Canis lupus familiaris: one gene and its partners. The protein of the gene in region 3 purifies or fractionates together with the protein of the main gene of each other region. This does not show direct contact. Links are inferred from orthologs where the notes say so. Each region holds a gene or a part of one and is shown on either strand. Other genes may lie near its edges.

Evidence for each region.
Region 1: the proteins of EED (region 3) and AEBP2 purify together in Homo sapiens (affinity purification with mass spectrometry; 6 studies listed by BioGRID and IntAct, counting the BioPlex papers as one, with this or other methods). This does not show direct contact. The link is inferred for Canis lupus familiaris from reciprocal best matches to the Homo sapiens genes EED and AEBP2.
Region 2: the proteins of EED (region 3) and DDX5 purify together in Homo sapiens (affinity purification with western blotting; 3 studies listed by BioGRID, with this or other methods). This does not show direct contact. The link is inferred for Canis lupus familiaris from reciprocal best matches to the Homo sapiens genes EED and DDX5.

The regions. Positions count from the first base shown.
Region 1 is NC_049248.1:18,425,723-18,437,562, reverse strand, and holds the start of AEBP2 (zinc finger protein AEBP2), read right to left. Parts: upstream 6,381-11,840; 5' UTR 6,290-6,380; coding exon 5,619-6,289; intron 1-5,618. UniProt on the Homo sapiens protein: Acts as an accessory subunit for the core Polycomb repressive complex 2 (PRC2), which mediates histone H3K27 (H3K27me3) trimethylation on chromatin leading to transcriptional repression of the affected target gene.
Region 2 is NC_049230.1:14,615,931-14,626,008, reverse strand, and holds DDX5 (probable ATP-dependent RNA helicase DDX5), read right to left. Parts: upstream 8,562-10,078; 5' UTR 8,534-8,561; exon of another isoform or gene 8,090-8,533; intron 7,910-8,089; 5' UTR 7,775-7,909; coding exon 7,731-7,774; intron 6,513-7,730; coding exon 6,347-6,512; intron 6,015-6,346; coding exon 5,918-6,014; intron 5,820-5,917; coding exon 5,686-5,819; intron 5,565-5,685; coding exon 5,499-5,564; intron 5,229-5,498; coding exon 5,087-5,228; intron 4,997-5,086; coding exon 4,836-4,996; intron 4,748-4,835; coding exon 4,575-4,747; intron 4,248-4,574; coding exon 4,137-4,247; intron 3,924-4,136; coding exon 3,862-3,923; intron 3,788-3,861; coding exon 3,728-3,787; intron 2,485-3,727; coding exon 2,260-2,484; intron 2,034-2,259; coding exon 1,630-2,033; 3' UTR 1,327-1,629; downstream 1-1,326. Other genes in the region: CEP95 (centrosomal protein of 95 kDa), read left to right, coding at 8,801-8,819. UniProt on the Homo sapiens protein: Involved in the alternative regulation of pre-mRNA splicing; its RNA helicase activity is necessary for increasing tau exon 10 inclusion and occurs in a RBM4-dependent manner. Binds to the tau pre-mRNA in the stem-loop region downstream of exon 10.
Region 3 is NC_049242.1:13,363,048-13,374,257, reverse strand, and holds part of EED (polycomb protein EED), read left to right. Parts: intron 1-2,569; coding exon 2,570-2,661; intron 2,662-4,636; coding exon 4,637-4,770; intron 4,771-6,644; coding exon 6,645-6,750; intron 6,751-7,868; coding exon 7,869-7,943; intron 7,944-11,210. UniProt on the Homo sapiens protein: Polycomb group (PcG) protein. Component of the PRC2/EED-EZH2 complex, which methylates 'Lys-9' and 'Lys-27' of histone H3, leading to transcriptional repression of the affected target gene.

The DNA of each region.
Region 1 (11,840 bases), on a different chromosome or scaffold from region 3:
AGGACTCTACCAGAAATTCTTTTGCACTTTAGAACACCTTCATGGTAAAATCTAACCTTTTTACGTAGTTAGGGAACCAAGGCTCAAAGATATTACTTAAAATCATAATACAGGTAGCAAGACCAAGATCTAAATTGTGACCTTTGACTCAGATACACACTCTTTATACGAGCATTCTATTTTTTTTATACAAGCATTCTATATCCCACCACCTAGAATAAAGCCATAAGCAGGAAGGAAAAAAATACATCTATAGGAATTAAATGGAAAAAGAAATTAAAGCCAGAATTCGTTGTGGCATTTTGATGGGCCTTAAGTGAACAAAATCTGAAGTAATTATTGTGTAACAGGGAATAAATGAAAAAAGAAAATAGGAAAAACTTACCTGCTACATGAAAACGTAGGAAGAAGAAAAAATAAGTATATTTAGGTCATAAAATGACTTTGTGGCTTCTTCTGCCACTTGCTCTGAGGGGAAATAGCTGCTATGTCATGAGGATACACAGATTCTGACTTGGTGAGTAACTGAAGCATCCTGCCAAGAGCTACAATAAGTAAGCCATCTTGGAAACACATGTCTAGCCCCAGTCAAATCTTCAGATGACTGCAGTGCTGGCCAACCTTTTCACTACAATCTCATGAAACTCTGAGCCAGAACCACCCAGCTAAGCCTATCCACTTCTAACTCTCAGAAACCACTGTGTGATAACAAATGTCTGTTCCTTTAAAAGTTGCTAAATTTGAAAGAAATTTGCTACACAGCAATAAATAATAGCTAATACAACTGGCAAGGTGTAAAATTTGACTCTGTTTATATAAGACTCAATAAAGTCTTGTGCTAGGAACATACACCTTGGAATTAAAAGTCTCACAGCAATACGCAAGATGGATGAAGCGGAAAGCATTTTTCTCTTCCCGTCTTCCACAATATTCAATAGAGTCCTGCACATAGTAAATACCTGTTTGGTTAGCAAATCAACTTACAGGATTCTCTGACTCAACATGGTAGCCTTAACTTTTCTTAAAAGTAAAATGACCCCCTAGAATCTCTCCATAAATTCAGTCCTGAAGTCTGTAGTTTTTTCATGATTTGTTTCATGCACAGAACCATGCCTTACTTAACTGGGAGTTACAGGTTATCAAAGAAAACGGAGACCTACTAAAAAGCTCTTTTCCCTAAACTTAATCAAAATAAAAGGTCATTGAAAAGAATGACTTTAGAGACTATGGACAGCTGCTTCAGAGTTGAAGAGGTAAATACTGAAAGGAGTTTATCATAAAGTATGAGCAAAAATTACTTTACATAAAAGTATTGCATTGCCTCAACCATAGAGATCCTTAATAAATCTTGATGATAACTTCAGCAAGCAGCCTTCTGGTATGAACAGGACTTAAAAATTTAGACTCCAAATTGGAAGATCTTCCCAGTCATACCACTGAGAATTTGGGCAATATAAGCCCATTTTCCCAGCATCAGAGCAATGTCAGTTACACCTCAAAGTTTGCAACCCCCTAAGATTGGGATTACAAATCTTGATCCACAAAATGATAAGGGCCTGTGGCCTTTCCTGATCACTAAGTTTCATACTTTTATGTCTTTCCCTATTACCCCCATCCTTACACATGCACTTTTCACTTGGCATGGACTTACCCAGAAAGGTGGTAAAAGTGGCTGATGGTGGTCTTGGCTTTTCAAAACAAGTTATGGCTTCTATTCTATCTAGTTGGAGGGGGAAGGGGGAACACACATATACATATATATGTGTGTGTGTGTATAATACATTGTTATATATGTGTATATACATGTATATATTATATATAAATGACATATATAATTTCTTTTTGTAGTTGTTTCATTCATATATTTGTTTGTTGTTTTATTCATATATATGTATACATGTATATATATATGAATGAAACAACTACAAAAGAAATTATCAATTCACTTACACAGAAAAGGTAATACTTCCAGTGTATAATTTGATTCAATAGCTAGAATTTGTGAACTTAAAAACTTTCAGAAGTATTTTAAATTCTAAAATTCTATTTAAAAGTTCGTCTCTGTAAATAAATAAAAATTTAAAAAAAAAAAAATTTAAAAAAAGGGATCCCTGGGTGGCGCAGCGGTTTGGCGCCTGCCCTTGGCCCAGGGCGCGATCCTGAAGACCCGGGATCGAATCCCACATCGGGCTCCCAGTGCATGGAGCCTGCTTCTCCCTCTGCCTGTGTCTCTGCCTCTCTCTCTTTCTCTCTCTGTGACTATCATAAATAAATAAAAATTTAAAAAAAAAAAAAAAAAAAAAAATTTAAAAGTTCGTCTCTGAAATTAACTTAAAAGATGGTAATTATTTTTTTAAAGTGATAATTTTTTAAAAAATACTTAAGCTTAGGTTTGAAGTAAAAGAAAAACTAGTTCATAGTGGTCTCAAACAGCTAAATATTCCCCTAAAGAAAATAAATTCGATATCAACATTAAGGTTTTCTAACTTTACCAAAATAAACACACTAATATGCTTATTCTGGTTTTGAATAACTTTCTCATGGGGAAAATAATCAATGTTTTTGTAGCAATTGTCATTTATTCATTTTATAAATCAGTCATTTTTCACCACACAACATTTCCACTAGATGTTTATAAACTGACACCTTGGATCTGAGCTTTAAATATCTAAGTCTTTATATCTAAATGTTTCTTAAAAAGAAGCACTTACAATTAAAAATACTTAAGATAGTTCAACAAATTCCAAGGTATGTTAAACTCAAAAGTATGATCTAATTTCAAAGTAAGAGAAAAATTGAACAGGTATTCTAGAACAGTAAATTTTAATAATAAAATTATTTTTATAGGAATGCCCAAATTTTTTAAAAGCACTTTAAAATCACGATATCCTTACATCAGTTACAAAAGTAATTATGGCCTCCTACCATGAAATCAATTTATAAAATCTACATAGATTAATGTAATCTGCAGAACAGTTCCTAAGAACTATGAATCCTTTCCAAATTTAAAAGGACCCTTAAGGGCAGCCCGGGTAGTTCGGCAGCTTAGCGCCGCCTTCCGCCCAGGGCGTGATCCTGGAGACGGGGGATCGAGTCCCACATGGGGCTCCCAGCGTGGAGCCTGCTTCTCCCTCTGCCTGTGTCTCTGCCTCTCTCTGTGACTCTCATGAATAAATAAATAAAAATCTTTAAAAATAAAAAAAAAAAAGGACACTTAAGGAAAAAAAAACTTAAAGGCAACAAGGGGGCATTTAAGAATGAAGATTAAGACTACCGTATCCAGTTTCACTAGCAAAACCTTTTCGTACAAGTGATAATCTTTCACTCTGAAACAGTAAAAAGATTACAATATTTTGCACTCTCTAATGTTTAAGCATTAAGAAAAGCAAGTATGTTTGATTATGAAGCTTTAACCTTATTTGGACTTGTGGCACTAATATCTTAGTCCTTACTCTGAAATATGATGTAAAAATTAGATATTCCAGTGATTATCTTATAAATATGAAATGAAGCCAAAACTCCACTTCCTGAAATATTACTTGACCAATAATAGTTCATCTCCTAAATGGATGTAGCAAATAGTAACTTAAAAAAAAAAAAAAAAAATCCTGGCACATACAGCTTGTTATTTGAGTTGAGTATTCTAACTCTTGTGAAGTGGAAGTAGGAGGCTTGAGAACCTTTGTTCGGATCCAGCTCTTCCACTCCATACTTACTTTTTGAGTAAGACAATTTGCTTCACCTGTTAAATGGAAGTCAAAGTAATTCCTATCTTGCACCAGAATTGTGAGAATGAATAGAGACATTTAAATTGTGCAGTGCTAAACCTGTGTGTGCCCACACACGCTGGATAAATGGAAGAACTGTGCTAGATGTTAACTGTATAAACTGATGTCAACTTTCAAATATCTGCTGGTACCAATGGACGAGGATATACTAAAATGATAAATAACATATGCTTCATTGTGTGGGTCACATCAATTTTTAATCATCTTAAAGATTCTCCTTCCTGCCATACCTACATAGTTCAGCACAGTCTCTCTAGGGTTTGTACAGTCTACTTTACTCCATCCATCCATCCAAGGTATTTTCTTCTCTAAAGTAAATGTCGAACTGAATCTAGTGCTATATTTTCACGTTTTTTAGAGTTTTGTATTCCTTGTAACATTAACGATAAACCAAAGTGTTCGTTTTATTAGTTACCAATCCGAATTCCTAAAACCTCAGAATACTTAAACTTTTAAAGACCAATCAATACCGATGGTTAAAAATCCTACTGTTCATCAAAACATCAAAACATTAATAGATGGTCAAAATAAAGGCCAGGAGCAGTATAATAGGCATGACATGGTTGTCTCTGTGTTTAAAAAAAAAAAAAGTACATTAAAAACCAATTAGTTAAAATAGGAAGTTTTCCAAAGTGATGAGAAGTAATAACTGAAACACACTAATGCAATAAACTGTAATGTCTCCAAAACATGAAGCGTATTTTCGACTGTATTCATGTTATTTTTTTTTTTTTTTTTAATTTTTATTTACTTATGATAGGCACACAGTGAGAGAGAGAGGCAGAGACACAGGCAGAGGGAGAAGCAGGCTCCATGCACCGGGAGCCCGACGTGGGATTCGATCCTGAATCTTCAGGATCGCGCCCTGGGCCAAAGGCAGGGGCCAAACCGCTGCGCCACCAGGGGATCCCTATTCATATTATTTCTAACAAGCTTTAGAAAAAGGCTACTTATTTCTTCAGAGATCTCTCCGATCCACGACTTTAATATCACCGTCTAAAAAATCATGACATTCCTGTTAAAGATTCTAAACCACATACCAATATGGTGTGCCTTCCGGGCTGTACCTCATTACGATTCCCAATTCTTTGATCCCCTCACATCATCTTAAAGGACATCAATCCATTATTCTCGTCTACAATTCCTACAAGTGTTTCTAAACTTTCTCCCCACGTTTAGTCACAAAGCAAAATACAAGTTAGCAAAATCACTTTGGAGAGCGTATATAATGACTACACGTGAGAAATTGTAGAAGCACTGACCAAATTACAAAAGGCCAGTCGTTTTCCTTCTAAGTGGCGAAAAGTGATAGTGGGGGGTGGGGGGGGGGGGGGGTCTCCTCCCTGAACAAGGAAGTTCTGTTAAATCCAGGCGAGACCAGCCATGTTGGAAAACACTTGTCAATTACAGTTCTGACAAGTGTTCGCGAACACCGGTGGGGCCGAGCGAACCCTGTGTACCGGGGTGTGAGCATCGAGGCCCTCGGGAGCTCCGCCAGGGGATCGGGGCCTACTTTGAGGGCTGTTTCGGAGTTGGCGCTGTCCGTAGGTCCGTCCGGAGCGCAGAGCCGAGGGGGGAAAGAGGGCGGGGAAAGGAGAGTTGGGGGGGGCCGGTCGGAGAGTTGCGGGCGGCCATCCGCGGCGAGAGGGGCGCGGCGGGCAGGAGAGATTTCCGAGTTGGGAGCCGGGGGGAGGGGCCGCGGATCTGGGGCGCAGGGGGACCTCAGTTTAAGAAAAAAAAAAAAAAAAAAGAAAGTCCCCTCGTGCCCCCCTCGAGAGGCGCACGAGCGCAGAAAGGAGAAGGGAAGGGGACACCCTCCCGGGCACTGACCTGTCCTCCGAGTCCATGCGGCTCAGGGGTTCCCCGTCCGACGACATCTCCAAGCTGCCTCGCCGGCCCCCGGAGGTCGCGCTGCTTCCGCCGCCCCCGGTCCCGTAACCCTCGTCGCCGCCGCTGGAGACGACGCTGCTGCTGCTGCTGCCGCCCCCGCCGCCGCCCTGGCTGCCCCGGGGTCCCTTGGGCTCCTCCAGGCCCTCCTTGCCGTCCCCATCCCCGCTGCTGCTGCTGGCGGCGCCGGGGCTCAGCGAGCGCGTCTCGTCGCTGCTGCTCCCGCCGCTGCTGCTGCCCACCAGGCTCTCGGCGCTGCTCTCCTCCTCGCCCCCGCCGCTGCTGCTGCTCTCGTCCTCCTCCTCCTCGTCCTCCTCCTCGTCCTCGTCCTCGCCGGCCTGGCTGGCGCTCTCGGGGCTCGGCTCCGACATCGTCTCCGCCTCGCCGCCCCCCACTCCGCCGCCGCCGCCGCCGCCGCCGCCCCCGCCGCCGCCGTTCAGCAGCAGCGCCGCCACCGCCTCGGCCTCGGCCTCCTCCTCCTCCTCCTCCTCTTCCTCCTCCTCCTCGGGGGGCTCAGCCCGGCCCCGCGCCGCCGGGCCGGGGCTGCCGGGGGGCAGAGGGCTCAGGCGAGAGAGCTCCTCCAGGTCGGCCATGTCGGTGATAGCGGCGGCCATGGCGGCGCCTGCTCCTCCTCCTCCTCCTCCTCCCCGCCGCCGCCTCCCTCTCCTGACTCTAGCTCCCTCGCTCGCCCCCTCCCAAACGCCCAAAACTCCGCCGCCGCCGCCGCCGCCGCAGAGCAGGAGGAGGGCCCGCGAGCTGCGTCAGCCTGCACACGCGCTACGGAGCCCGCGCGGGGACAGGCGCGCCGCTGCGCGCACTCACGCGGACACGGCTGCGCGCCTGCGCGGAGGCCCGAGGTGGCGCCGCCCCCGGCCGCCCCGCCCCGCCCCCGCCCCGCCCCGCCCCGCCCCCCCGCCGAGGGCTCAGACTTTCCTCGGGGTCTTCCCACGCCTGCTCCGGGCCTCGCGGCCGCCGGGACACGCAGAACGAAAGCTGGAGCGCTGGCCGGGGATTTTAACAGCCTTCCGAGTTCTCACGATAAAGTCATTCATTCCGGGGATGTTTGGGGAGCGTCCGCCCCCCCCACCCCCACCCCCACCCCCACCCCCGTGTGCAGGCGACGAGCCAGGAATCCAACAAGTCCCTGCTCTTGCGCGGCCCAGAGGGGAGGTGCTGGCGACGGTGGAAACGGGGAACACGGGGCGAGCTGCTGCGCCCGCGCGCGCAACGTGGAGCCACAGGTTTGGGGCCAACCGTGATTCCAACGCCCCCCAAGAAATGGTTCAGCCGGCCTCCCTGCAGACTTGGGTTCTGCTCAGGATCTTCAGACTTTGTAGCTAACGAGTCCCCCAAATTCTGTACATCCTTCTGCAGTTGAAAAAGACATCTACATTTTTTTTCCCCCAACTGGTTATGAATATTTTATCATTGTCACTTTTAAATATAGCCGGCCAACTCCAAATATTGCAGTTTTGAGGCCCACCAAATCCACTTTTTTAAATACGGTTTCTTTGATACTTGGGCAATTTCCATCTTTCCTTTATCCTCCGTATTTACATTCCACATCCCTCCAGAATTTTATCCTAATAATAGACTTTTATGTCTGTTTTATTGATCATCTTCTAGTCCCTTGTAATAAAATGAAATAAATTGAAATTAAGGATCGTGTTTGAATCTCTTGTGATCGTAGAATTTAAAGCTTTATTATTTCGAATGATCAAAGCACGTTTTTTTAAATATTTATGTAAGAGGGGCGCTTGGGTGGCTGGCTATGTCCGTTAAGCCTTGACTTTTGGTTTCAGCTCAAGTCAGGATTTCAGGCCTCAGATTGAGGCCTAGGTAGGGCTCCTCACTCAGCTAGGAATCTCTCTTTTTTTCTCCCTCCCTTCTGCCCCTCAGCGCTCCTGCCTGGACTCTCTCTCTCTCTAAAATAATAAATAAATCGTTAAATACTTACATAAGTATTAAACACAGAAGTAAAATGTTGTTGGAAATGCATCTTACAGAGATAGAACTGCTAGTTCCCACTACTTTTTTGTTTGTTTTTCAAGTAGGCTCCACACTCAGCATGGAGACCAAGGCAGGACTTGAACTCAAGACCCTGAGATCAAGACGTGAGTTGAGATCAAGAGTTGGACCTTTAACCAACTGAGCCACCCAGATGCCCCCAACTAGTTTATTTTATTGATGGATGAGTATCACCAGAATGAGAACAAGTTCAACATCCATTCTATTCCAAGTTTTCGATTCCATGGATGTACTCAGTGAGGAAACTTGTTCGCATAAATAAGTAGATGAAAATGAATGGAGTTTTTAGTAACTTGATTCTTTGAACTCCTTCCAAATTATATGCCAGAAGAATCACATAAAGATCTAACAATAAAAATTATTTTTAATGATCCATCAGCTGACAACCCTGATTAGGTTCTCTTTCAATTGTTGAAAGCAAGTTGTTGAAAACCATCTGACTTCTAAGGTTGTGTTATCCATTCTCATTCACCAATTGTTCCTTTTTTTGACATCCTGGAGATTTTTGTTTCACCCCTGGGGTATTGCACCTTGGTAGGATTTGGGGTGGAGAAGAATTATGCTTTTCTTTTTCTATAAGTAGGGAAGGGGCAACTGGGATAAGGAAGGCTGGAAAGAACTTTACACTCTGACACCAGAGGTGTATCTTCAGGCAGATCACTTTTAGGGACAGCCACCTAAGGGAAGTGCAGATCTGAGAACTGATTGCATTAAAACAGTCTCCTGTTAGGGGGCGCCTGGGTGGTTCAGTGGGTTAAACATCTGCCTTCAGCGCAGGTCATGATCCTAGGGGCCTCGATAGAAGATCCTGGGATTGAGCCCTGTGTTGGACTCCCTGCTCTGTGGGGAGCTGGGGAGCTGCTTCTCCTCTCTCAGCTCATGCTCATGTACACTCACACCCTCTCTCTCTTTCTCTCTCTCAAATAGATAAATAAAATCTTTATAAAACAAAAACAGAGTCTCCTGCTTCATAGATTATGAGTACCCAAGTATTATACCCACTACCTTAGGCCTTTGGACAGCTGTTATATGTCCCATATGTTCCTCAAGGGAAAGCAAAAATTGAAAAAATAATAGTATGGGGCATTAGGGACACCTGGGTGGCTCAGTGGTTGAGCGTCTGCCTTTGACTCAGGGCCTGATCCTGGGGTCCTACGACGGAGTTCCGCATTGGGCTCCTCACAGGGAGCCTGCTTCTCCCTCTGCCTATGTCTCTGCCTCTCTGTGTCTCTCATAAATAAATAAATAAAAATCTTTTAAAAAAATAGTATTGGGCATTATGGTTTACAGTTAACTTTCCAAGCACATATAATGCAAGATATTCACCTCACACATTTCAACCTCAAAGCCACTATTTGAGATAGACCAGAAGTGTATTATCCTGTATTGTAAAGTAAGTGCTTTCAGAGAGTTTAACTGAAAAGTGTATGTGCCAAGCACTCTATCAAACCCTGGAAATTAGGGTTAACATTTAGCTGAGCTAATCAAGGAAAATTTCATGAAGAATGTAGGATTTGAACAAATTTATACAATAAAATATATAACTGTGTAAGTTTAACTTGAGCTGAATCTTGAAGAGTGAACAGAATTCTGCTTAAGGGGGAATTCTAGGACTGAGAAGAAATAACATGGAAAGGCATAAAAATGTATTCATAAAAAATAAATAAAATAAAAAATAAAAATGTATTCATGATAGTGTTAATCGGGTATGAGAACGCAATCTGGAAAACTAAAAAAGAGTTAAAGATCAGATCGCATAAAATCTTGAATAAAAAATTTGATTTTGAAAGACAACTAGTGTGTACTGAGATATTTTCCAAAAGGTGTGATGAGGGGCACCTGGGTGGCTCAGTGGTTGAGCATCTGCCGTTGGCTTGGGTTATGATCCTGGGGTCTTGCATGGGGCTCACTGCAAGGAGCCTACTTCTCCCTCTGCCTATGTCTCTGCCTCTCTGTGTCTCTCATAAATAAATAAAAATCTTTAAAAAAAAAAAGGTATGATGATATGATTAAAGTTATTTGTAATGGTATGTAATGTATAGGACCTAGAAGAAAAATGTGAAGAGAGTGAAAGTGAATGGGGATTAAACGTGTAGAAGTGGCAAATATCAAAAACCAGAAGTTCTCTCCCTCCTCTCCAACCCCTCCCTCTCCCCTGTCCCTTCCTCTCCCTCTCTTCTAACTACACCTCTACCCACCCCCCCAACGTCTGTCTGTCTCTGGGCTTGGATTCAAGTGCAGAGGTCATTACTCTGCATGTATCTCCTTAGAACAAGGCCACTCTCCTACGTAACCACTCACTGAAGTGTGTGGCTAGAGGACAGACTTGTGGATGATGAACATGGCATGGCATCAAGTGAGAGGTAGGATGAAAACATGAATCGCAAGAAGCAGTGCCCACCAACCAGTGCACATGCATGAACACCCCCATAAACTGTTACCTGCCTGTAGCTAGACAAGTACTGAAATTAGCTTATGGAAACTTTTATAACACCTTGACAGAGTAATTTTATGCCTACTTGAATCTAAGAATAAACAATTGGGGCTCATATTTTGATGTCAGTTTTTTCTATTATTCTGGTAATTTACCTTTACAGTATTTTTTTTTTTAGCTTTTATTTATTTATTCATGAGACACACAGCGAGAGGCAGAGATATAGGCAGAGGGAGAAGCAGGCTCCCTGCAGGGAGCACAATGCAGGCCTCAAAACCAGGACCCCAGAATCACAACCTGAGCAGAAGGCTGATGCTCAACCACTGAGCCACCCAGGCATCCCTACCTTTACTGTATTTAGCAAAAAGTATCAGTCCAGTGGAAGTTTTCAAAAAATAAAATACTGGTCCTCTACAGATTAAAAATCACTGTTGCAGAGTTCCCTGCTTCCCTGCACTAGGAGAGTGCATGATTCTATGCTTAATAACACATCACTGCCTAAGAACTATTTGATTAGAAATAGTATTCAAACTCATCGACCACAGTACTAATGGGGTCAGATTAGCAATAATGACTTGAATTTCCCCTGCTTTTCTGCCTACCAGGCCTACTAAGGAAATGAGGACACCTCTAGCTTTCCGGGAGCCTCTGGGATGTGAGATCTCTAGTACATTCACTCCTGGTTGCCCCCCTCCCCTGCCCTGCTCTCCTAGGTGCTGTAGGCTCCTTCCCAGAATCTGTGATACAAGCAAAACAGCCACAGCCATGGGGTAGCCTGCAGAAATGGAGATCACGGTGTTGACCTCCTTTAGGGGAACCCCGAGGCAGATTGCTTGTGCCCGCTATCATGGAAGGTTCAGTGAAACAGCTCTTTATGTTTTTACTCAGAGCTCTTTTTCTCTTAGAAACCCAGACATGCTTTCATGGGCCTAGCTAGATTGGCGACAGATTTGAGTAACAGCTACCCCAAGCTGTATTTATTACTCCCCATCCAATGACTAAGTCTTTCTTATAGAGCTTCTCTGTCTAATTCTCTTCCACTAAAATGAATTCTATTCTAGGAAGCAGTCTCAGCCCCCAGGTCAGCAGGTTTCTTTCAGGCCTGCCTCACCAGTTTGTCAGACATGCCCAGACATGCTTGAACCCAGCAACAGACCCAGTTTAGAATCAAGCTGAGATTCCTGCTACACCATATGCAAGAGACTCCTGAACACAACGTCTCTAAAACCTGAAGCCATCGCACATTTTCCTCCTTTAGTTCAGGTTCCTCATTCTGCGCATTGATACAGTCACAGTGAACAAGATCACTCAGCAGCACAGTGACCTCATTCTCTGGTGGACTTGGAGTCTAAAGAAAGTATGCATTAAAAGACAGAACATCATACAGAAAGATTGTAAAGCTGGAAAGAACTACAAATCTGATGAAGCTTCCCCCTACCTGTGGATTGTAATCCAACCAAAACACAACCAAATAATGATTATAGTTTGGGGTATAGTTTTATAGTTATATATACACATACAGATTACAGTTAAAATTTGTCAGTGTATCCATTTTGAGACATAACTGCTTTTGGCTGGCAACTTCCCACAATAAGGAGATCATAGGTGCAGCCACTCTGGAAAACTGTGTGGAGGTTCCTCAAACAGTTAAAAATATACCTGCCCTACGACCCAGCAATTGCACTGTTGGGGATTTACCCCAA
Region 2 (10,078 bases), on a different chromosome or scaffold from region 3:
GGAGAAAAATCACATTTATTAGTTCAGACAACCACAGGCTGGACACAACACACATGCTAAAAAGTGGACTGTCTTAAAACTTACTTCAAAGGTAAATAGGTAAATGTTTTCCACAGCCCCACAATCATTTCAGTAAGTGTTTACAAATTAAAAGGCCGTTAAACATTAAACAGTAAAATATGTAATAAATACTCCAACCTACCCCAAAAGCTTCTTATAAGTTAAAAGTCATAATGAATTTGACTAACCATGCTATTGAAAACTTTTCAGTCACTAGAGGCTGAATCAGTTTTCAATGTATTAGTCCTAAAAATACCACTTCCCCTGTCCCCCAACCCCAAGCAAACTCTAGTAAGATTTTACATTTTAGAGATAAGGCATTGACACCAATTAAAGCCTGTTTAATAATCAGAATTTAAATGAAGTCTCATAAAGACCTCTCCTCTCCTGACAAAAAGGAACATATATACCAGACTCTCTGGGAAGACATTCAGACCTATTTCTAGTCATTATTGAAATGAAGTGTTAGAAAGATCGGTGAGCCAAAGTTAAATCTAAAATAATCCATCATCCCCTGACCTTTCTAGCAATAAAAACCCATGTTGACCTAAGACGACTTGTATAAGTCACTGTGCTTTTGGTTATGTTGCTTCCTCTTGGTTCATCATTCATTTACTTTCACGGGGTTTTGTTTGAATATGAATAGACCCTCCAGTTTTTAAACTCCTCTAGAGTTCCCTGAATTATGGTAAAGACATTCATGATTCCCAGTGTCAACTACAGTTAAATGTCCCAAGAGCCTGAAGACTACAATCTGTATAAATTTAAAGTCTTAGCTTTGTTCACCATTTTGCTAATTCACATTAGAGCCAAGAGCAAGACTATAAACTGTTCTGAAAAATCAAGTTATTTGGAGCTTTTCAAATATAAAATTTTGCGAAGAAATAAAGTCATCCACGTTGTTCTCACACTAAGCAGTTTGAGGGTGGGGCTATACAGTTGATTATGTCCTATTTTAATCTCACTTCCCCATTCTGCTAATAAATAGGCTATTAAATGACTCACCTGATGAGGTACTGGCAGAAAGCCTTAATACAACTTAGCCTACAATTGTAAATTTACTTAATCTCATTTAATTCTTGCAATATAAATAGATCATTTTTAAGAAGGGCCTTCTGTTCTCCCCACTTCCCAAACCTAAATCATAGAAAGGAGCAGTTAATTTAGTTTTTATGGTTAAAAAAAAAAAACAAAATCAAACCAGACCATCTAAGCAAAGTTTTACATGACATTATAGATGTAAAATAAAGTACAATTTCCACTTAATTCAGTCTTCAAATATTTTTTATTGGAAGGCCATGCGTTGCCTTCATTTATTGTATTTCAAATCACTGTACATTTACTTTTGTGAAAACACTGCCTGCATTTTCTAGTACAAAAAAAACCTAAAAATTGTTTCAGGAATGTAGAGAAATATCCAACTTAAATAGCGAAAAAGTGCACCATAATTACTGCTGCACTGCAGTCATTTCTGCATTTCCCATGTTTCTTAAATAACTATCTTGTCTGATAACACACAATATAAAGAGCAATTATGAAAAACAGACATTTACATATACTTCTAAAGTCTTATTGAGAATATCCTGTTGGCATTGGATAACCAATCATAGGCGCAGCTGCAGTAGCAGGATATGCATATGCCTGTTGGTTCATACCATTGTGCATATTGGGAACATTACTTCCATATTGCTGAGTGCTATCGTAACCATTCTGGTAAGTCCCTGTTGGATTACCAGTCCTAAAACTGGTCTGTATACCAGCAGACACAAAATTACTTCCAAAGCTCCCATTGGTGTAATTTGCAGCACTGTAAACACCATTCTGAGTTTTTGCCCCAAAATCTCTCTTAAGCAGACTAGAGTAACCTCTGTCATAATTTTCCCTGTCTCTAAAGGTATTAAAGCCACCCCTTTTGCCCGCAGAGTATCTGTCCCGACGGTCATCCTTCATGCCTCCTCTACCCCTGGAACGACCTGTCAAAAAAAAAAAAAAAAAAAAAAAGAATTGCAAGCTGATTATTTCCACAGCACAAATCATTACTAGTACAGAAAAAATTAGAAAGAAGCTCTATTCAAAGTTTAAAGTGTTTTCTCAGTTTCATATGAAGATTTTACTCACCTGCCAATCCCATTTAATGGATTTGCAGACAATCATGTGACCCCAAAATCACCAACATTTCTTAATGAAGGTTAGTCTTACCTGAACCTCTGTCTTCGACCAACTGAAGCAACTTTGGATTAATTGCTTGATTAGCTTCACGAAGCACAGAGATAAGGTCGCTCACTTGCTTTATGTTATTAGGTGTAAAGAAAGTGTATGCTGTGCCTGTTTTGGTACTGCGAGCAGTTCTTCCAATTCGATGAATATAATCCTCTGAGGAGTTAGGGTAGTCATAATTGATGACAAATTTCACATCTTCCACATCTGTAAGGTGTTGCAGTGTGGCAAAATAGCAATGTACGGAGTTTTGCACACCACAACAGCCAGACCAAAAATAAAAAGTTAGACAATTGTATTCCCAAGAAGGTACGGGCTGCAAAAAATACAGTTAAAATGGTTATCCATTCCCTGTAGGAATACCATTGAGGTTGGAAGGAAAAAAAAAAAAAAGCACACACCATCTACCTGTCTCATTGCCCACCCAATGACAGAGCACCTAACAAAAGGACGTGTATTCTCTAACATATTCCCAAACCAGCAAGTCCCCTTACAGATCATCAAGTGACATCTGAATGCTTCTGCGCAGTAGGGCCACTTAAAGGTTCACAGCAACCTCTTCATGTGCTCATTTTGAGGACCTTTAAACAAAAATGTACATGGTCCTTTGCATTACACACTCATCAGAAGTTCAAAATTCTGGCCACACTGCTTGTCTTGCCAAGACCTTACAACCGCAGCTGCAAGAAAAACATACCTGTCCCCCAAAAGTTGTTTTTATGCACTGTGTCTCGTCTAGGCAAGCGCTTCCAAGAAGCCAGGATTCACTTGAGAATGTGTCTCTCTCTGGCAGGTCTCGACATGACGACTACTGTGTAGGTGAGGGAGGAACTTTCAAAGCACTGCTTTCTTTTCCCACTGACTAAGTGTGAGAAGTTGCTCCTGCTCTAGATCTCATGTGCCAGTACTCACCAATTTGTAAAAGGCTTAGTACCTTTTAAAGCTGCTCTCTCCATTTCAAACTTGAACAAAAATTTCATTGAACATTGAAGTTTGGAAATATTTCTTCAACATTTCAGCAAACTCACTGAAACTCAAAGACCCACAGATCACAGTAAACAGTTTGAAACAATGCTGTACCATGGCAGTCATGCAAAGCATGGGACAGAAGAAATACCACGGCAGTGAACTGTGAGGATAACTTCCATTTTTTTCCCCCGGAGAGAACAGTTTACGGGGCAGAGGTGGTATGTTCTGCCTTTTGAAGATTACTGGCACACTTTCAGCTTTTCACCTCTCTAATCGACTGGAAGCAGCCAGCCGATCACTAGTCCTCCATCCCCCTCGAGTCCTCCGATTGTCATGCCTAGGCCTTGCCACAAAGACTGCACCTTTATATGAAAAAAACTTAGAAAAAATGCAGAGGTTAAAGAAAGCAATAAACTTTCTTTAAAAAAATTATATGGAGATCTTCTGGGAAACCAAGCCACGAATTCGAGTTTTTACTAACCTAGCCCTCTGGAGGCCACATCTGTAGCAATCAGAATAGGAGCTTTTCCATGTTTGAATTCTGTGAAAAAGAAACGATCATCAATAATCTGAGAACTCCAGGTTCTGAGGGAAAAAATTTTTCATCTGACTTACCATTTAGAACCCAGTCACGTTCCTGTTGACTCTTGTCACCATGGATACCCATGGCGGGCCACCTACATTCAAGAAAAATTTTGTCAGTAGGCTTTGCATTTAAAGCCTGATAGGTTTTACTTTACTGCCTATCTAGTCACTAATTCCTTTAACTTCACCTGACCCATGCAGTTTTATTTACACCAGGTAAACTTATCTATGACATTCAAATCCACTTGCCCCTTCCCTTAAATTCAGCTCTCATATACTTGCTTTAATGGAAAAAACTCACATACCCGTCTCTCCTCATTTTTCTAGTAAGCTCATCACATCTTCTTTTGGTTTCAACAAAAACAATGGTTTTATTCTCCTTCTCACTCATGATCTCTTCCATTAGACGAATAAGTCTTGGAGGGAAAAAAATAGTGAATTTTAAAAGAAGTCCATGATTATGGCCACACATTTATGGTCACTCAAGAACTATCTTCAATTTACATGGCTATGAATGAAAAAACACCTGCTTGAACACTTATCAAGCAATTCTACCTTTGGTCCTTAAACCACAAAACAGGTTCCTCTCCTAAAAGAAATGTTACCGATAACCAATTTTGTGAATGAAGGAAATATTGCTAAGATTGACAGGATTTTAAAAGAACACGTTCACATTCTACCCTATGTAAGTTTCTTAACTTCTAAATTTGTACACTGAACTTTTAGTTCTATAAAAAACTTACTTTTCATCCTTTTCTACGTCATGACATACATCCACAATCTGAAGAATGTTGTGATTTGCACTCAGTTCCAGTGCACCAATGTTTATATGAATGTAATCTTTCAGGAAATCTTCAGCAAGCTGTCTTACTTCTTTTGGCCAAGTTGCACTCCACATTAGGGTTTGCCTATCAGGCTAAAGAATGTTGGATTTTAAAAAAGCATTGTATTCTAAATAAATTTAGAGCCCCGTTTCAAAATAAAACATTTTTAGGGGTACTTACTCTTATCTGATCCACAATCTTCCTTATTTGGGGTTCAAAGCCCATATCAAGCATTCTATCTGCTTCATCAAGGACAAGGTAGGTGGTTCTTCTCAGATTGGTTTTCCCACACTCTAAAAAATCAATCAGTCTTCCAGGTGTTGCAATACAGATTTCCACACCTTCAGTTAAACATATAAATATAAATAGAACTGTAACATCTAGACTTTCTAACACCAACAAAAAGAAGAAAAAGGATTTTTGTTACGTGCCTCTCTCCAAATCACGAATCTGTGGTCCCTTAGGAGCACCACCATAGATGCAAGTGGACTTCAATCGACATGCTCTACAGTATTCAGCAGCGACTTGCTGTACCTGTTGGGCCAGTTCCCGAGTTGGTGCCAGCACCAAGCACTAAGAGAAACAGAAAGTGGAATAGGTTTTTGCAAAGTCCTGGATCCTAGTTTTAAACTTATGAGCATTTACTGGCATTACTTCAGCAGCTAATGGATTTTGCTGTCCAATATTCCAGGATAATCAAGGCAACTTTGTCTCCAGTTAAATTACATAACACAACTGATGTCTCTATGTGAAACTACCAGAATTGGTTTTGCTATATATTCTGCAACTCTCTTTATTGTACTCACACAAAAATTAAGAAAAAATACACACATATATACTTACAATAGGCCCATCACCTCTCTCTAGGAATGGCTGATGATTGATATGGACGATAGCAGGCAGCAAATACTATTTGGGGTGGGGGAACAAAACAAAAGTTAAATTAAAAAGCTTCTAATTTCCTTATATCACTAATCCATTTTCTCTAACATAATCACATATTAAAACTCAAAAATTCTTCCACACTTACAGACAATGTTTTCCCGGATCCAGTCTGTGCTACTCCAACCATATCCAAACCACTTAGAGCAACGGGCCATCCCTGAGCTTGAATTGCAGTGGGTTCAGTAAAATTCTGTCTTGCAATCACATCCATTACATTTGCTGTAATTAGCAACAGTAATTCAGTAAATTTAGTGAAGCTAAGAAAAAGGGTGAAATTAATAAAGGGGGGGGAGTGAGTGCTCTGAACTAGCACTTACCAGGGAAGTTTGCTTCATAAAAATTCAGAACTGGCTTTGGGCAGTTGTGACCTCTAACCGTAATTTCCTTACTCCTTCTGTATGTCTCCACCTCTTGCTATAAAACAAATTTTAATAACCTACTAAGTACCATAACAACCTTCACCAATATGCAGTCAGCAGGCCTTAAGTTTATCAAGGATTAGCAAACTGTAACGGGCCATTTAAAATCTATATCCACATATAGAAAACCTACAGAGCACAAGATCCATCTATTGTAGTTATATTTAACCACTCTAAACAGAAAAATTCAAAGATACCACTTGCCAAAGCACCTCCTCTTCCTCGACTATCAGAAAATATGAGTTTTCCAAGGCCTCTGTTCAAATTTCTGTTTACTAAAAGTCACTGTTGAGTTACAGCCCAAGGAAGCCCTGTGAAATTACTCACTGCTGTGCGCCTAGCCAAATCAGGGTGTTCTTGATAAAAATTCTTCTCAAATTTGGGCAGCTCATCAAGATTCCACTTCTTTTTGACTAATTTCTCCCCAGGGTTTCCAAACTTCTTTCCAGATAGGGGCCCTGCCCTACTTCCCCCAAATCGAGGTGCACCAAACCTGAAATTAAAACAAAAAAGTTATATTTTCAACTACCTACTAAGACGTTTACATACAGACTATTTATTGTCCCTTGACACACAGTACAGATAAATGAAAGACTTTTCGAGGTTTAAGACTTAGCACTGTCCTTAGTGATGGGTCATGCTCTCAAAAGCCACAATTAGCACCATCTCTCTCACTTTCCGTTGTCCCAAATACACACTATTGAAGCCAAATCAACAGCCCGGGATTTATCAGGTCGGAAATTGGCTGCCCAAACGCCCCATGTTCAGATTACAAGGATAGACAACAGCTTGTGGCTCCTAGTCTTTCCCGTGAGCTTAGGCATTAAATGTCTGGGGGAGAGACAATACAAGGGAGGTGCGTAACAGCAATGTTATTATCAGCTCTTTCCAAGCCAAGCAGCTTTGGTTCTAAGGAATAATGGGACAGCACCAACGAGAACAGAACAAGGACGGTGGTCTCAGAGACATTTATGCAAGCCCATCGAATTGGGGGGATCCCCCCGGAGGGCTCCTCATCAAGATAGCAAAATTATATAACGCAAAGAAAAAGAGGAGGAGGAGCTGGCAACTACCGGGGGAGGAGTCCCGGACCGGGCGGCGTTCCCGCTGGGGCGGCGCTTCCCCCTTTGTCTCGCATTTCTCTCTGCGCCACATTTTCTCGACGCTGCCATTTTGAGCTCCTCCGCCGGGCGGGGTAACAAAGGCGCCGCCGCCATGTCCGGCGCCGGCATTTTGTACCCGCGGCTCAGCCACATGGCCGATTCCCGCGGTGCCGGCCGCCCTCCTGCTCCCGCGCCATCAATGGCTCGTGAGGCGACCCCTTCGATTACCACAGAACTCCCGGGGCCCCTACAACACTTCCCGAAAAGATGCACCGAACAGCGGTGACTTCGTTCTCCTGAAAGCGTCGCGCTTTCCAACCATTGAAATACACTCCCCCGAATTGTCCCCAACAGCTGCTCAGTCGGCGGGGGCGGGGGCTTCGGCGCCTCCCCCATCCCCCCACCAACAAAAGGCGAGCTTGAGGACCGTTAACAGGGAAACATCCCTCTGTCAGTTCCGGACAAATATCAAAATGGCGCAAGCCTTCGATTCGTAAAGGTTAAATATAGCCGGAAAAAGCCGACTGTCCATCGCCCCCGCCCGCCGCCTCCTTCATCGGCCTCCCATCCCCCACTGCCGGGCCTGACAAGTCCGTTCCCACACTCACCCTCGATCCCGGCCGCGGTCTCGGTCACTCGAATAACCCGACATGGCGTCAATGGTTGCGGTTGGCGGGGAACGAAGTAAAGAGAATCGGGTGCGACGAGTCGCTGCAGGTGGCTTTGGCGATGGCAAAGCCTTGCGGGGGCGGCAGCGGCAGCGGGGCGGCGATGACAGGGGCCGGAGCTGCTCGACAAGAGACCGGTGGAAATGAATGAGGTGCCGGCCGCGTCCCGGCAGCCGGTTTTATAGCCTGGACCGCCTCCTCCGCCGCGGAGAATGCTGGGAGCCGCTCTATGACCTAATCACCCCGCCCCTGCGCAGAGGCCGCAACGCCCGCCGGCGTTCCGGGATCCGCCATGTTCTCGCCCCACCCCCACCCTCCGCTTCCCTCAGAGTCGCCGGCTTGGGGCCCCTTTCACGGCTGGGCCCACCCGCACTGAGACGCCTTAGCCTACTCTGTGTTCTTCACCTTTTTCTCGTCTTTCCACACCTCAAGGAAGCCACCCCGCCCTTTCCCAGGTCTAGCCCTGCCGACAAAATGGCCAGCACAGACCAACCCACTCAGCCCACTTGGAGATGTTTACGTCTCCGAAGAGCCTTCACGCCCCTAACCAAGTGAGACGGGAAGGCGGAGCCTGACATTGTCACGTGACTGCTCCCGCCCATCGGGTAAGCGGACCGCACTACTTCTCCACTTGGCGTCGGCGGAGGAATACGAAACGAAATAGCTCGCCGGAAGTGCCGTACTATTGCCCCCGGGAGGCCGGCCAGGGCCGCTGGGTGACCCGGCCTGTCAAATCCACCCACCTGAGAATCCCTCAGCGGGATCTTGCCCGCGGAGAATGGTACCTAGAGCCCACAAACCGCCGCCTGGGCGCGTGCTGCGAAAGGAAGTCCTCCCGTGATGACCAATCAGCAGCAAGAAGCCGTTTTAACGTCCCTCCCTCTTTCACCCCCTGCCCTTTCGTTTCGTTCTCCCCCCACCTCGGCGTTGCGTCTGCGCTGTGCGGCCCTTCCCGGACGCCGTCCGCCTCGCGCCCAGCTGGAAGTCCGGCAGCGACCTGCCTCCGTGACATGGCCGGCTCAGAGGCTGGTGAGTCTCGGCCCGGAGCCCGGGTGTGTGTGGACTGAAACCCTTTAAGTCCGCCGGACGCTCCTAGGCCTTTTATCTCGAATCCTCCGGCTGGACTCCCTGGGTCTGGGCTGCCGGCGGGGCTGGTGACAGACACCCAGTCGCAGTCGGCGGTTCCGTGGGTTTCTTGGCCCCGCTCTGGGTCCCCCTCCTAGAGGCCATCTAGCGAGATCTTGGGGTGTGGAGAGAAGAACCCCGTGGCGAGGCCCGCAGCACGCCCGCAACCTGGCTGCAAAAAGGGCAGTCGGAAAGCTGCTTCCCGGGACTCGTGTTTCTCTGGGGCATCCAGCCACTGTCAGCGCGCTCTCTGCCTCTTGGATTGTGGGGACTGAGGCCGTTACCTCCATGTGCATTGAAGTTTTGAGGGGAACGGCACTCTAAAGATCTGCTGATGCTCCTGCCACAGTAGGATAGTGGCGGATTTTTCTCTTCAGTGCCCTCTGGAGTTACCTGCATTGTCTAGCAACCGCTTTTGAAAACCGAGTGGGTTGGGTTGTCCGGGACGCTTTTCTTTTCATCCTTTCCTCAGGACAGCGTTCAAACCAGCTCGTGGTTTGGTCAGCTGTGAGAAGTGGGCACGGGGACAGGGAGATAACGTGCCTTGAACGCGCTCAGTTCGTCAAATACGAAGTAGAAGGACTTCTTAACCACCTTAAATTGTATCAGGGAGCAAATAGGTCAGGCTTTAGAAATTACCTTTGTTGGAGAAAGTCGTGAAATAATCTTGCTAATTCCGACCGTATCTGGGGGTGGGGTGCGGTGGCACACAGGAAACTTCCAACAGTGTTGGTAATGTGCTAGTTCTGAATTTAGGGATGTCTTTGTGTATTGCCTGTATTTTACTTCTTATTCATTGACTTTATTTTTTTTATAAGATTTTATTTATTTATTTGAGTGAGAGCATGAGCAAGGGGAAAAGCAGACTCCCCGGTGAGCAGGGAGCCAGACTTGGGGGCTCCATCCTGCGGGGATCATGACCTGAGCTGAAGGCAAAGGCTTAAACCGATCGAGCCACCCAGGCGCCTCCATTAAATGTAATTTTTTTAAAGAACTAAAACAAATGTTGCAGTGTTGGGGTCATTACTTCAGTTTTTTAACAGCCTGAATTAATCACCACCTTTTGGGGCACCAGAGAAATTCTGACTTGCACAAAATAATTGGGTAGAAACATGACTAATGCTATTGGGAATTTGAAGCAGCATCCATTAATTAGTTTCTGC
Region 3 (11,210 bases):
GAAATAATGCATCTGAAAATCTGTTTTGCTTTTTCATGTATAAAGTTTTTGTTTTATAAAGGATTCTCTAATAGAATTCCTTAAAATGCTAAGTTCTCCAGCATAAGCTCTTTGAAATATTTCCCATACATGTAAAGAAAAAGCCCTGCCTTGCTCTATATGCTTATGTTGGGAATAGAAGTTATTCAGGGTTCAGAGAAGCCTTTTACTAATTTCTGAGCTTTCTGAAATCAGCTGTGTTCTTATTTCTACATTCTGTTCTTGATTGCCTTTTCTCTTTTTCTACATTATTATTCTAGTCAAGTTTATTCTTAAAGGCTTGTCAAACCTGTAACCTTCCCTCACAATCTGCAGGTACTAAAAAATGTTCTCAAATCAAAACTCTTCCATGAAAATGCTTCTGTGTGATTTTTCGTTATCTACCAAGGCTTAAGTTTGGAAATCAACATCTAAGAAGAGTTGATAACTTTTTCTCTTTTCTTGATAATAGCTGGGCCCAAGTATTTCTTTACAAGTGATATAGGTCATAATGCCACACTTTCTAAATATTACAGCTCTCTAACCCAGCTCTTGCTCTGTTGTGTCAGTAAGTGTAAAGATAACCTACAGTTATAGATCTAATAAGGGATTTGTATCAAGAGCTCTTAAAATTCAGCAAGACAACCCTTTAAAAAATGGACAAAGGTGTAGAACAGACTTTCTAAAGAATATACACAAATGTCCAGTGAGCACATGAAAAAATGCATAATATCGTTTCATTAGGGAAATACAAATCAAAAACACAATGAGAGGGACATCTGGGTGGCTTGGCAGTTGGGCATCTGCCTTTGGCTCAGGGCGTGATCCTGGGATTCCGGGATTGAGTCCCACATCAGGCTTCTTGGCGTGGAGCCTGCTTTTCCCTCTCCTTGTGTCTCTGCCTCTCTCTCACTGTGTCTCTCATGGATAAATAAAATCTTAAAAAAAAAAAAACCCACACAATGAGACCACTTTATACCTACTAGGGTTTTGACAGTAATCAAAAAGGCAGTAACATATGTTGACTAAGAGGTAGATAAGTTTGAAGCCCCTTACACATTGCTGGTGGGAAAGTAAAATATATCTCCCTTAAAAACCAGTCTAACCTTGCAAAACTCATATTTAACATTCAACAGTTGGTGCTGCTGGCAGGAATATCACTCAGATATAAAAATTTCTATTAGTCATGCTATTTTGGGTGGACTATTATCAAAACCTAAGCAAATGGCGACCTGGATTAATTCAAACTTCATTCAAGGTCTGATTTTTGTCCTTTGAGCCTGCTAAGACCCTTAGTCTAATACTCAGCACTTAATCAACTTCACAAAAGTATCATAGTAACATGAATAGATAATCTAAGACCATAAAAAAACAGTGGCATTTCCTACAGTTTAATTACCATAATGATCTGCAAATGTAGAAACATAGGTCCAGAAAATTTTGGGAGCTGCTTTTGTTAAATATTAAGCTTTCCAATATGTTACAATAAAATTTCCTGTGTTCTTTTAGTTTCTAAGTTGTATCATAATCGGGCTATATATTTTGTTTAGACCATATATTTAGAGACATCTGATTTCAAAAAAGCAAGCAACAGCGCCTTGTGAAAATGTCATATAGGTTATACCATGGCTGCACATGCTGTTATAGACCATTAATTAAAATATGATCGCCTTTTTAAATTAAAGAAGGAATCAAACATCACTGATTAAAAGTAGATACTATTTTATTGGAAAAAAAAAACAGTCTAGCAGTTCCTCAAAAGGTTAAACGTAGAAATACTATTGCTGTGTGTGTATGTAGTCAAGAAAAATGAAAACAAGTGTCTACACAAAAAATTGTACACAATTGGAATCAAGAAATAATTTTTACAGCAATGTTAATTTCTACTATTAAACACAATTTATAATTGCCTTCTAGTGTATGGAATATGTTAATATTCATATATAGTATAGGCATTGTTATATTTCACAGAATACATTTTTATGTTGTTGCTATATATTTTGCTGCTAATGTTTAGTGGAAAATGAGATTGTTCAAATTACAGTTATATTTCTAGGAGGTCTATAATACTATAAAAGCTTGTTGTGGTGTATGTAGTTTTTAATCCTATTTTGGGTTTACTTTAGAAATCTTGCAGTCCCCTTCAATTTGTAAATGTGGATTCTGTGGAGGAAAAAGCTTTATCTTACTCTGTGTCATAGAGTATCTTACTCTGTGACATGTAAGTTTCAATGTGAAACCTAAGTCAAATCTCTAAGTATTATCTCAGGAGCATGAGTCCATCAAATTAGGATATGATTTGAGGTAAATAAGCTAAACATATTTTAAGACGACATAGATATTTCTTTCTGATCTGAAAAGTTTGAGCTCATACTTAAGTCTGCATGTTGATGTAAATTTTTTAAGCAGTTATATAATGTAGATTACATTCCCAGTCCTCCCTGTGTATTGCTGAAGTCCAAACTTTTGTAGTTTTTACTTCTTTACAGAGGTTTTGAGAGTCCAGAGTAAATGAAGGATAAAAGTCCATTTTAATTCTTTTTATGTCTAGATCATGCCTTACGATTGTGGAATATCCAGACAGACACTCTGGTGGCGATATTTGGAGGCGTAGAAGGGCACAGAGATGAAGTTCTGAGTGCTGTAAGTTGAAAGCTGCAGGGCAGTGACCATCAGGTGTACAGAGCTCTGAACAATCCTCATGGAACTCTGACATGAAAGCATATGGTTGGTTTCATATAGTCTGCCAGCCACTCATTTTATTTACTTGGAACATAATAAGGTTTTTAGTTTACAGATGAAGGAATAAAGCAAGTAAGGCTCTTTGTGCTTTATCTGTACTCTTGCACTTTATACCAGCACCTAGAATCTCATGAAACAATACCATGAACTTGTTCAATCAAAAATCACCAAGGTAACTTTTGTTTTGCTGTTTCTCAATTACTGAAGAAAAAGGTTAAGCTGCTTAGCAATTGAGATCGGCTTTCATTTTTTATTTGAAGCTGAAATATAAGATCTATTTTTAGGAATTGTTTTATTATGCTTAAACTAAGTTTCAGGTAACCCTTTGGTTTCATGGTATCTTTATGTTTTATAATTTGTTGATTCATTTTAATGATAATGATATTTTTGGTCAGCTAGTATTTTCACATTATTTTAGCTTTACTTACATTTTATTTTATAGCTTATCTAGTGGTTTTACAAGTCTTCGGTATTTTATTAAACTGTAAAGAGGCACCATGTTTTGAAGCAGGTAGCGTTTTATTTGAAAGGACTTAAATATTCCTGTAGTTAGAGTTTATATTCTTTGGAGAATCATACCTACCTCCTCAGCTACCTTGTCACCTTGGATTTTCTAAAGTTGCAGTAGCATTCTCCCATCTGGTTTTGTGTCCTAAAAGCCATGACACCATCCGTTAAGAATTATAAATTCGAGGGATCCCTGGGTGGTGTAGCAGTTTGGCGCCTGCCTTTGGCCCAGGGCGCGATCCTGGAGACCCGGGATCGAGTCCCACGTCGGGTTCCCGGTGCATGGAGCCTGCTTCTCCCTCTGCCTATGTCTGCCCCCCTCTCTCTCTCTCTCTCTCTCTCTCTCTCTCTCTCTCTCTGTGTGACTATCATAAATAAATACAAATTAAAAAAAAAATTATAAATTCGAGCTACTGATCGTAAGGGTGTCTTATTGCTGTTGACAGGTAATTAGAAGTAGCAGCAACCAGACTTGTGAATTCAGTGAACACCAAACCTAAAACCCTTAGGCTCTTGTAAAACAGTATTCATGACCAATTCAAAGGTTGGAGTACACAGAAATATCTAGATTAATAAAGAAAATATTCTCTTCCTCAAATAGAACTCTGTACTGTTTTCTTCCCTTTTTTTTTTTTTTAAATCTTCCCTTTTTTTAAAGGTTTTATTTTAACACATGAACCATGTGCTAAATTAAATAGCATCTTGGTGCCTCATTGTTTTATCTATGAAATAAGGTGGGATAAGGTTGTTATTATAGATGTTCTGTTACGTGTCTTCAAAATTAGTAGGTAGCAAATGAAAAAGTTAAAATATCTTGTCCCTTTTTTAGACCTTTTTTTTTTACCTTTTTTCTTTTTAAAAGTGAACTTATAACCTATATAACAAGTATTTTACTTAGGTACACAGATAAAAGTAAAATTTCAGTTTTGTTCAAGGACTCATTGTATAGTTTCACATATAGCTGTCAGTTTCATTGTTTAATCAGGGTTGGACAAAGAAAACTTACATAGGTCTTTGTGTCATGGAATAATTGTTTCAGTTTATAATACATGTAATATATAATGAATAATTCATTCAGTTTACTTTCAAAATCAAAGGAAATATTTAAAGATAATTGAATAGATAAAACTAAATTCAAATAATTTACTTATATATTGTATAAGCTCACATATTGTGATCATGACAAATCAGTTAAAATAAATCTTGAAAAAAATCTTGAAAGCAGCATCAACTGATTTATGGACTACATAGATAAAATGTATGTATATGACTTGAAATACGGTTTTCATTATGTTGTACATCAGATGAAAATTGGATAGTTTAATTTTGGGCAATTTTGGATATTTAAGCTTTTCTGTTTTACATACAGGACTATGATCTTTTGGGTGAAAAAATAATGTCCTGTGGTATGGATCACTCTCTTAAACTTTGGAGGATCAATTCAAAGAGAATGATGAATGCAATTAAGGAATCTTACGATTATAACCCAAATAAAACTAACAGGTAAAAACTGTGCTATTTAAAACTATTTCATGCTGTTGGATAGATGCATTTTACTTTCTCTGGAATTTTTAAATAATTCTCCAACATTGAGTTTAGAAGCCTTTTTTAAATAACTTTGAGGTACCAGTTTACCATACCATAAAGTTTACTCATTTTAAATCAAAGTCTTATTTTTAGTCTAATGTTTGTGGCTCCTTTTTCAAAATCCCCCTTAAGTTGTGGTTTCATCTTAATTTAGTGGTACTTTTCACTTATTTTTATTTAGGTAAGCACATGCTTGGCTATTACATTATAACAGTTTTAAGCTGCTTAAACTTGGTGTGGGATAGAGTAAAGAACCTTTCAGAATAATATTACTTGTATTATTTGTCAACAGTCTAATAAATTCAAAGTCAAGAGAGTAAATCGTGATTTTTTAAAATGGGTTTCTTGGCTTTTATTCGTGGTAATGTAATGCTTTCCTTTAAATGATGATCCATATTTTAGAAGGAGAAAATTCAGAAGCAGGGAGGGCCTTGCTTCATGGGACTCTGCGAACTTTAGAGTTTTCTTACAAAAAAATATATGTGTGTGTGTGTATGTGTATATATGTATACACACACATACACACATACCCAACATGCAGCTCAAGCTTAAAGCCCCAAGATCCAGAGTTGCACGTTTCACCAACGAAGCTAGCCAGATACCCCTCTTAATATATTTTTGAAATGCTTCAATTCTTAATTCGGTCATTGTCTTTTCAGAATCTTTTCAGGCTATTAATGTTTTCACTGTAACTGTCATGTCTGTGTATATTAACTTTGCACTTCTGTTTTAACAAAAAAGCTAACATTTATTTTCTGGTTATCAAACCAGGTTATTAATAGATTGTCAGTTAAATTTATAACTGTCAACAAATATTTCAGTGCACTAACATATATATTTGGCTAAAAAGCAATTAACATAATTATAGTAGAATTGAGAATTTGTATCAGATCATTAATAACATTTTAATGTTTTAATAAAGAAAAGCTCCCAGAATTTGAACTGGAAGGAATGTTTGAGATGATTCAGCCCAACATCCTTTTTACATATGAGAGAAAAGTAAAGAGAGGACATGTGAGTTGCCCAAGACACAATTAATTCATGGCATCATATCATTCTTCTACAGTTATTTCAGTATAAAACTGAATCATTAGATTAGAAATGTTAGGTATACTTTTAATTATAGAATTAGTAGCAATTTCTATGCTTGGTGGTCTTCTCACAACATTTTTAAGGAAAAAATAGCACTATGTTTCACTTTCCTAAATAGAGGAAAAGTCTTAATAAATGCCAGATTCCTGTCAGAGGTCATTTTTAGAAATTGTTGCTCAAGGCAAGACTCATCTAACCTTATTTTTAGCAGCCTTTGGAATGATGTGTCATTGTTCCTAGAAAGGTGACTATCTTTTGAAATAATTTAGATATGTTGAGTTGCATAGATTGTTAATGCTTAATTTTAAAGGATTGAGTAGATAGCTTAATGTTTTCCATGAGAAACTTTTGGTGCTGTAATCGGATGACTGTGCTTATCATTGGTTAGGATAGCCAGAATTGAAGTGATTAATTTTGGTCTACATAGTAAGATAAGCAGGTATAATTTTTATAAATGAAATTTCATAAGATAAAATTGAAGGCCGATAATGGAAAAAATACAGAAACAAATACATGAAATGAGACTTTAGCTCTCGATAAACAGGAAAGTTGGCAGTTTTCTAGGAACACAGAGTTAATAGTCATATATTTCATTTGTCAATGTTTTATAAATCTGAAAGTGAAAATTAATGTGATTCTCCTATGGTAATTTTTTTTTTTTAACTTTTTTCTTTTAACTTTTGGCATTTCCATTTCAGGCCATTTATTTCTCAGAAAATTCACTTTCCTGACTTTTCCACCAGAGACATACATAGGAATTATGTCGATTGTGTGCGATGGTTAGGTGATTTGATACTTTCCAAGGTATGCTAACTGCTGTTAAGCTGTACTTCTATTTGTGTTTGTGTGAGTTGGAACTTTGCAGGGAGCACAATTTATTTTATATTTTGGTAAATTGGATGGCAGATGGGAAATTCCCTCCCCTCGCCCCTCCGTAAAGTCTCATAGATTTGGAAACTTGTTTTAGGCATAAAACATCCTGATGAATTATTATAACTTGTGCTGCAATAATAGGAAAAACGTTAACTTGTAAGATGATATTCTTCTGATATCCAGTATTATAAAATAACCAATATCTAAAGCCATAGTGAGTTTTTTGTTATGTCGTGTCCATTTCAGTAAATTTGTATTTACAAAAACAGACAGCTGGAGTTGGCTATGGGCTGCAGTTTGCCAACCCCTGCTCTCTAATGTGTTGATGTACATTTACATATTTTTTGCTGATAATTTAGAGTATTGTTGGTGATGTTATCTGAACATTTAGGATTGTCATATTTGGAAAAATTGCTATCCAGTTTCTTTTCTTGATGTGGATTTCAGGGCGTTTCATATTTTCTTGGGCAGAGCCTGACTTTTTTTCTTGGCCTTTTTACCCTTTTTTTTTTTTTTTTTTTTAACTTTTGATCTTGAGATAATTAGATTCTCAATAAGTTTCAAAGAAAGTACAAGAGGAGTCCCATATTGCCCGTCACTCAGGTTCTCCCACATACATCTCACATAACTGTAATACAGTATCAAATTTAGCAAATTGACATTGTACAATGTGTGTGTAGAGTTTATGTTGTCTTTTCATCACATGTGAATTTTGTCATTTCAAGAATGTTACTGTATGGGACCCTTTAAGATTAGTTTTTTCCACTTAGTATAATGCCATCCAAGTTGTTGTGTGTATCAGTCGTTTTCCTTTTTTATTGTTGAGTAGTATTCCATGGTATGGATGTACCACAATTCATCTATTGTAGGACATTTTGGTCCTTTTCAGTTTGGGTGTATTACAAATAAAGCTGCTAATGAACAATCGTGTACAGGTTTTTGTGTGGACTTAAGTTTTCATTTCTCTGGGATAAATGCCTAGAATGGCAATTGCTGGGTCATGGTTAAGTTTGTTTAGTTTTTTAAGAAACTGCCAAACTATTTTCCAGAGTGGCCGTGCCATTTTACATTCCCACCAACAATGTATGAAAGATCCAGTGTCTCCGAATCTTCGCCGGCATTTGGTATTGTCACTATTTTTTATTTTAGCTGTTCTGATAGGTGTGTAGTGATATCTCATCATGGTCTTAATTTACATTTCCCTGATGGCTAGTGATGTTGAACATCTTTCATATGCTTATTTACCATCCATATATCCTTTTCGATGATGTCTCTTCATATCTTTTCCTCATTTTCTAATTGGATTGGTTTTGTGTTTTTTTATTGTTGAGTTTTGAGAGTTCTTAATATATTCTGAATATGAATCCTATGTCAGATACGTAGTTTGCAAATATTTTCTTCCAGTCCATAGCTTGTCTTTTCATCCTCTTAACAGGGTCTTTTGCAGAGCAAATGTTTTTAATTTTGATGAATTTCAATTTATTGATTTTTGCTTGAAAAAAATTATGGATTGTGCTTTTGATGTTACATTTAAAACCTCTATGCTCCGGATTCTAAAGGTTTTTTCCTGTTTTCTTCTAGAAGTTTTATAGGGTTATGTTTTATATTAAATGTATGATCTATTTTGAGCTAATTTTGGATGAGGTTTAGAAGTAGTTCATTTTTTGCCTATGGGTATCTAGTTATTCAGCACCATTTGTGGAATAACTGTTCTTTTTCCTTTTAATTGCTTCTGCACCTTGGTCAAAAATTGTTTGGCCTGTTTGTGTGAGGCTGTTTCTGGTTTTTCTGCTCTAGTACCTCTACCACTAGAATATATATACAGTCTTGATAATAAGTCTTGGAAACAGTTACGTGTTTTCTTCCACTTTATTATTCTTTTTCAAAATTGTTTTAGCTCTTTTGATTCCTTTGCCTTTCTGTTTTATATCCGTTTGATGGGGGAATTAATTGACATCTTTGCTCTCCAGTCCATGAACATAGTATGTCTCTCCATTTGGATCTTTTGATTTTTATTATCAGCATTTTGTAGCTTTTAGCCTGCAAGTCCTATACATACTTTGCTAGATTTATAATTAAGTACTACTTCTCTTTTTTGGGTGATTGTAAATGGTATTTCTAATTTCTGTGTTTATTGCTAGTATACAGAAATGCAATTGATTTTTCATATTGACCTTGCATCCTGTGACCTAGCTATGCTGCTTACTAATTCTAGGATTTTTTTTGTCTAGTACTTGGGGTGTTTACGTAGACTATCACCTCATCTGCAGGTAGGGACAGTTTTATATCTTCCTTTCTGACCTTGCCTTATTGCACTGGCAAACTTCCAGTTTTGTGTTGAATAGCAGTGTTAAAATCCGACATTCTTGACTTGTTTCTGATATTAGAGGGTAAGAATTCTGTGTTTCACAATTAGGTATATTAGCTGTATGGTTTTTGTGGATGTTCTCTATCAAGTTGAGAACTGTACTCCTTACTAATTTTTTGAGAGTTTTATCATGAATGGGTGTTGAATTTTGTCAAATGCTTTTTTCTGTATCACTTCATGATACAGATATAGTTTTTCTTCCTTAGCCTGTTAGTGGATGTATTTTATTGGCTTTTCTGTTTTTGTTTTTGTTTTTTTTTTTTAATATTGATCTGGTCCTGTATCCCTGGAATGAGTATATTTGCTCATAGTGTGTAATTTTTTAAATGTGTTGCTAATAGCTGATATTTTGTTAAAGATTTCTGTGTTTGTATTCATGAGGCTATGATACTAGTCTGAAGTTTTTGTAATGTCTTTGTCTGGTTTTGGTATTGCTAATACTGGCTTCATAAAATGAATCGGCAAGTTTCCTCTGATATTTTTTGGGAAGAAATTATATAGAAATTCCTCATAAATGGTTGTTAGAATTCTCTAATCATCTGAGCCTAGAAATTTTTGAGAGAGAGTTTTAAAGATACAGATTCCATTTCCTTAATAGTTAAAAGAGCTATTCAATTAACTATTTCCTATTGTGTGAGTTGTGGTAGTTTGTGCTGTTTAAGGAATTGATCCACTCCATCTAAGGTAAAATTTATGTGTAGAGTTGTTTGTAACATTCTCTTATTTTCCTTTTGACAACTGCAAAGTTTCCTGATAGCTCTGTTTCATTCCTGAAATGGTAATTTGTCTTCTCTTTTTTGGTAAGTTTTGGTAAGGGCTCACCAGTTTTTTTTTTATCTCTTCTTCCTTTTGTTTGCTGTGCTATGTTTTGCTCTTTGACTAATTTCTTAAGGTGTGGGAGCTTACATTATTGAGTTGAGACTTTTTCTAAGATAAGTACTAGATGCTAGAAGTTTTCTTTTCAGCACTTCTTTAGCTGCATCTCACTAATTGTGATATGAAGTGTGTTTAGTTTCTAGGTGTTGGAGATTGTGTTAATCTTTATCTTACTGATTTCTAGTTTGATTTCATTGTGTTCAGAGCATATTCCCTGTGATTTGGTTGTTTCTGAGACTTATGACTATCTTGAATGTGTTCTGTGGGAACTTGAAAGGAATGTGTAATCTGTTTGTGTGGAGCTCCATACGTGTCAGGTGCTATTGGTTTGACAGTGGTTGAATCCTTATATAACTTCATTGATTCTTCTCTCGACTTATTTTATCAATTATTGAGAGATGGAAAAGTCTCCAGCTGTAATTGTGCATTTTTTTCTTTTTGCTTTCAGTTTTATGATGTTTTGCCACTCTGTGGGTTGCTTGTTGTTGCTATGTCTTGGTGACTGGGCCTTTTTTTTTTTTCTTTAATTAATTTATCTGGGCTTTTTTCCTATTTTCCTGTAGGTTACATGATTTTTTGTTTTTTTGTAGGCTCTATGCTCAGTGTGGGGCTTGAACTGAAGCCCTAAATCAGGGTCTCATGCTCTATTAATAGTCAGCCAAGCAGTGCTATATAAACATTTTTTAGAATCCCACTTAAAATTTTTTTAAAAAATTTGTTTGAGAGCGAGCTCACATAAGAGAGAGTGTGAGCGGGGAGAGGACCAGAAGGAGAGGGAGAAGCAGATTTCCTACTGAGCAGGGAGCCTGATGTGGGGCTCTGTCCCAGAACCTCAAGATCATGACCTCACCTGAAGGCAGATACTTAACCAGTTGAGCCATCCAAGTGCTTCTAGAATTCCATTTTATCTGTAATACTGAGTATATTTCTTTAGGTAGCTTTGTTGATGTTTCCTCTATATGTTACATTATATATGCATATTAACTGTTTTGTTACCTTTTGCTATATACTATGTATTTTCATTAATGCCATTATAAGAAAGTCACTTCAGGTATAAAATATATGTAGGTTCAAAATAAAAAATTGCTGGAGTGCCTGAGTGGCTCAATTAGTTAAGCATCTGAGTCCTGATCTCCGCTCAGGTCTT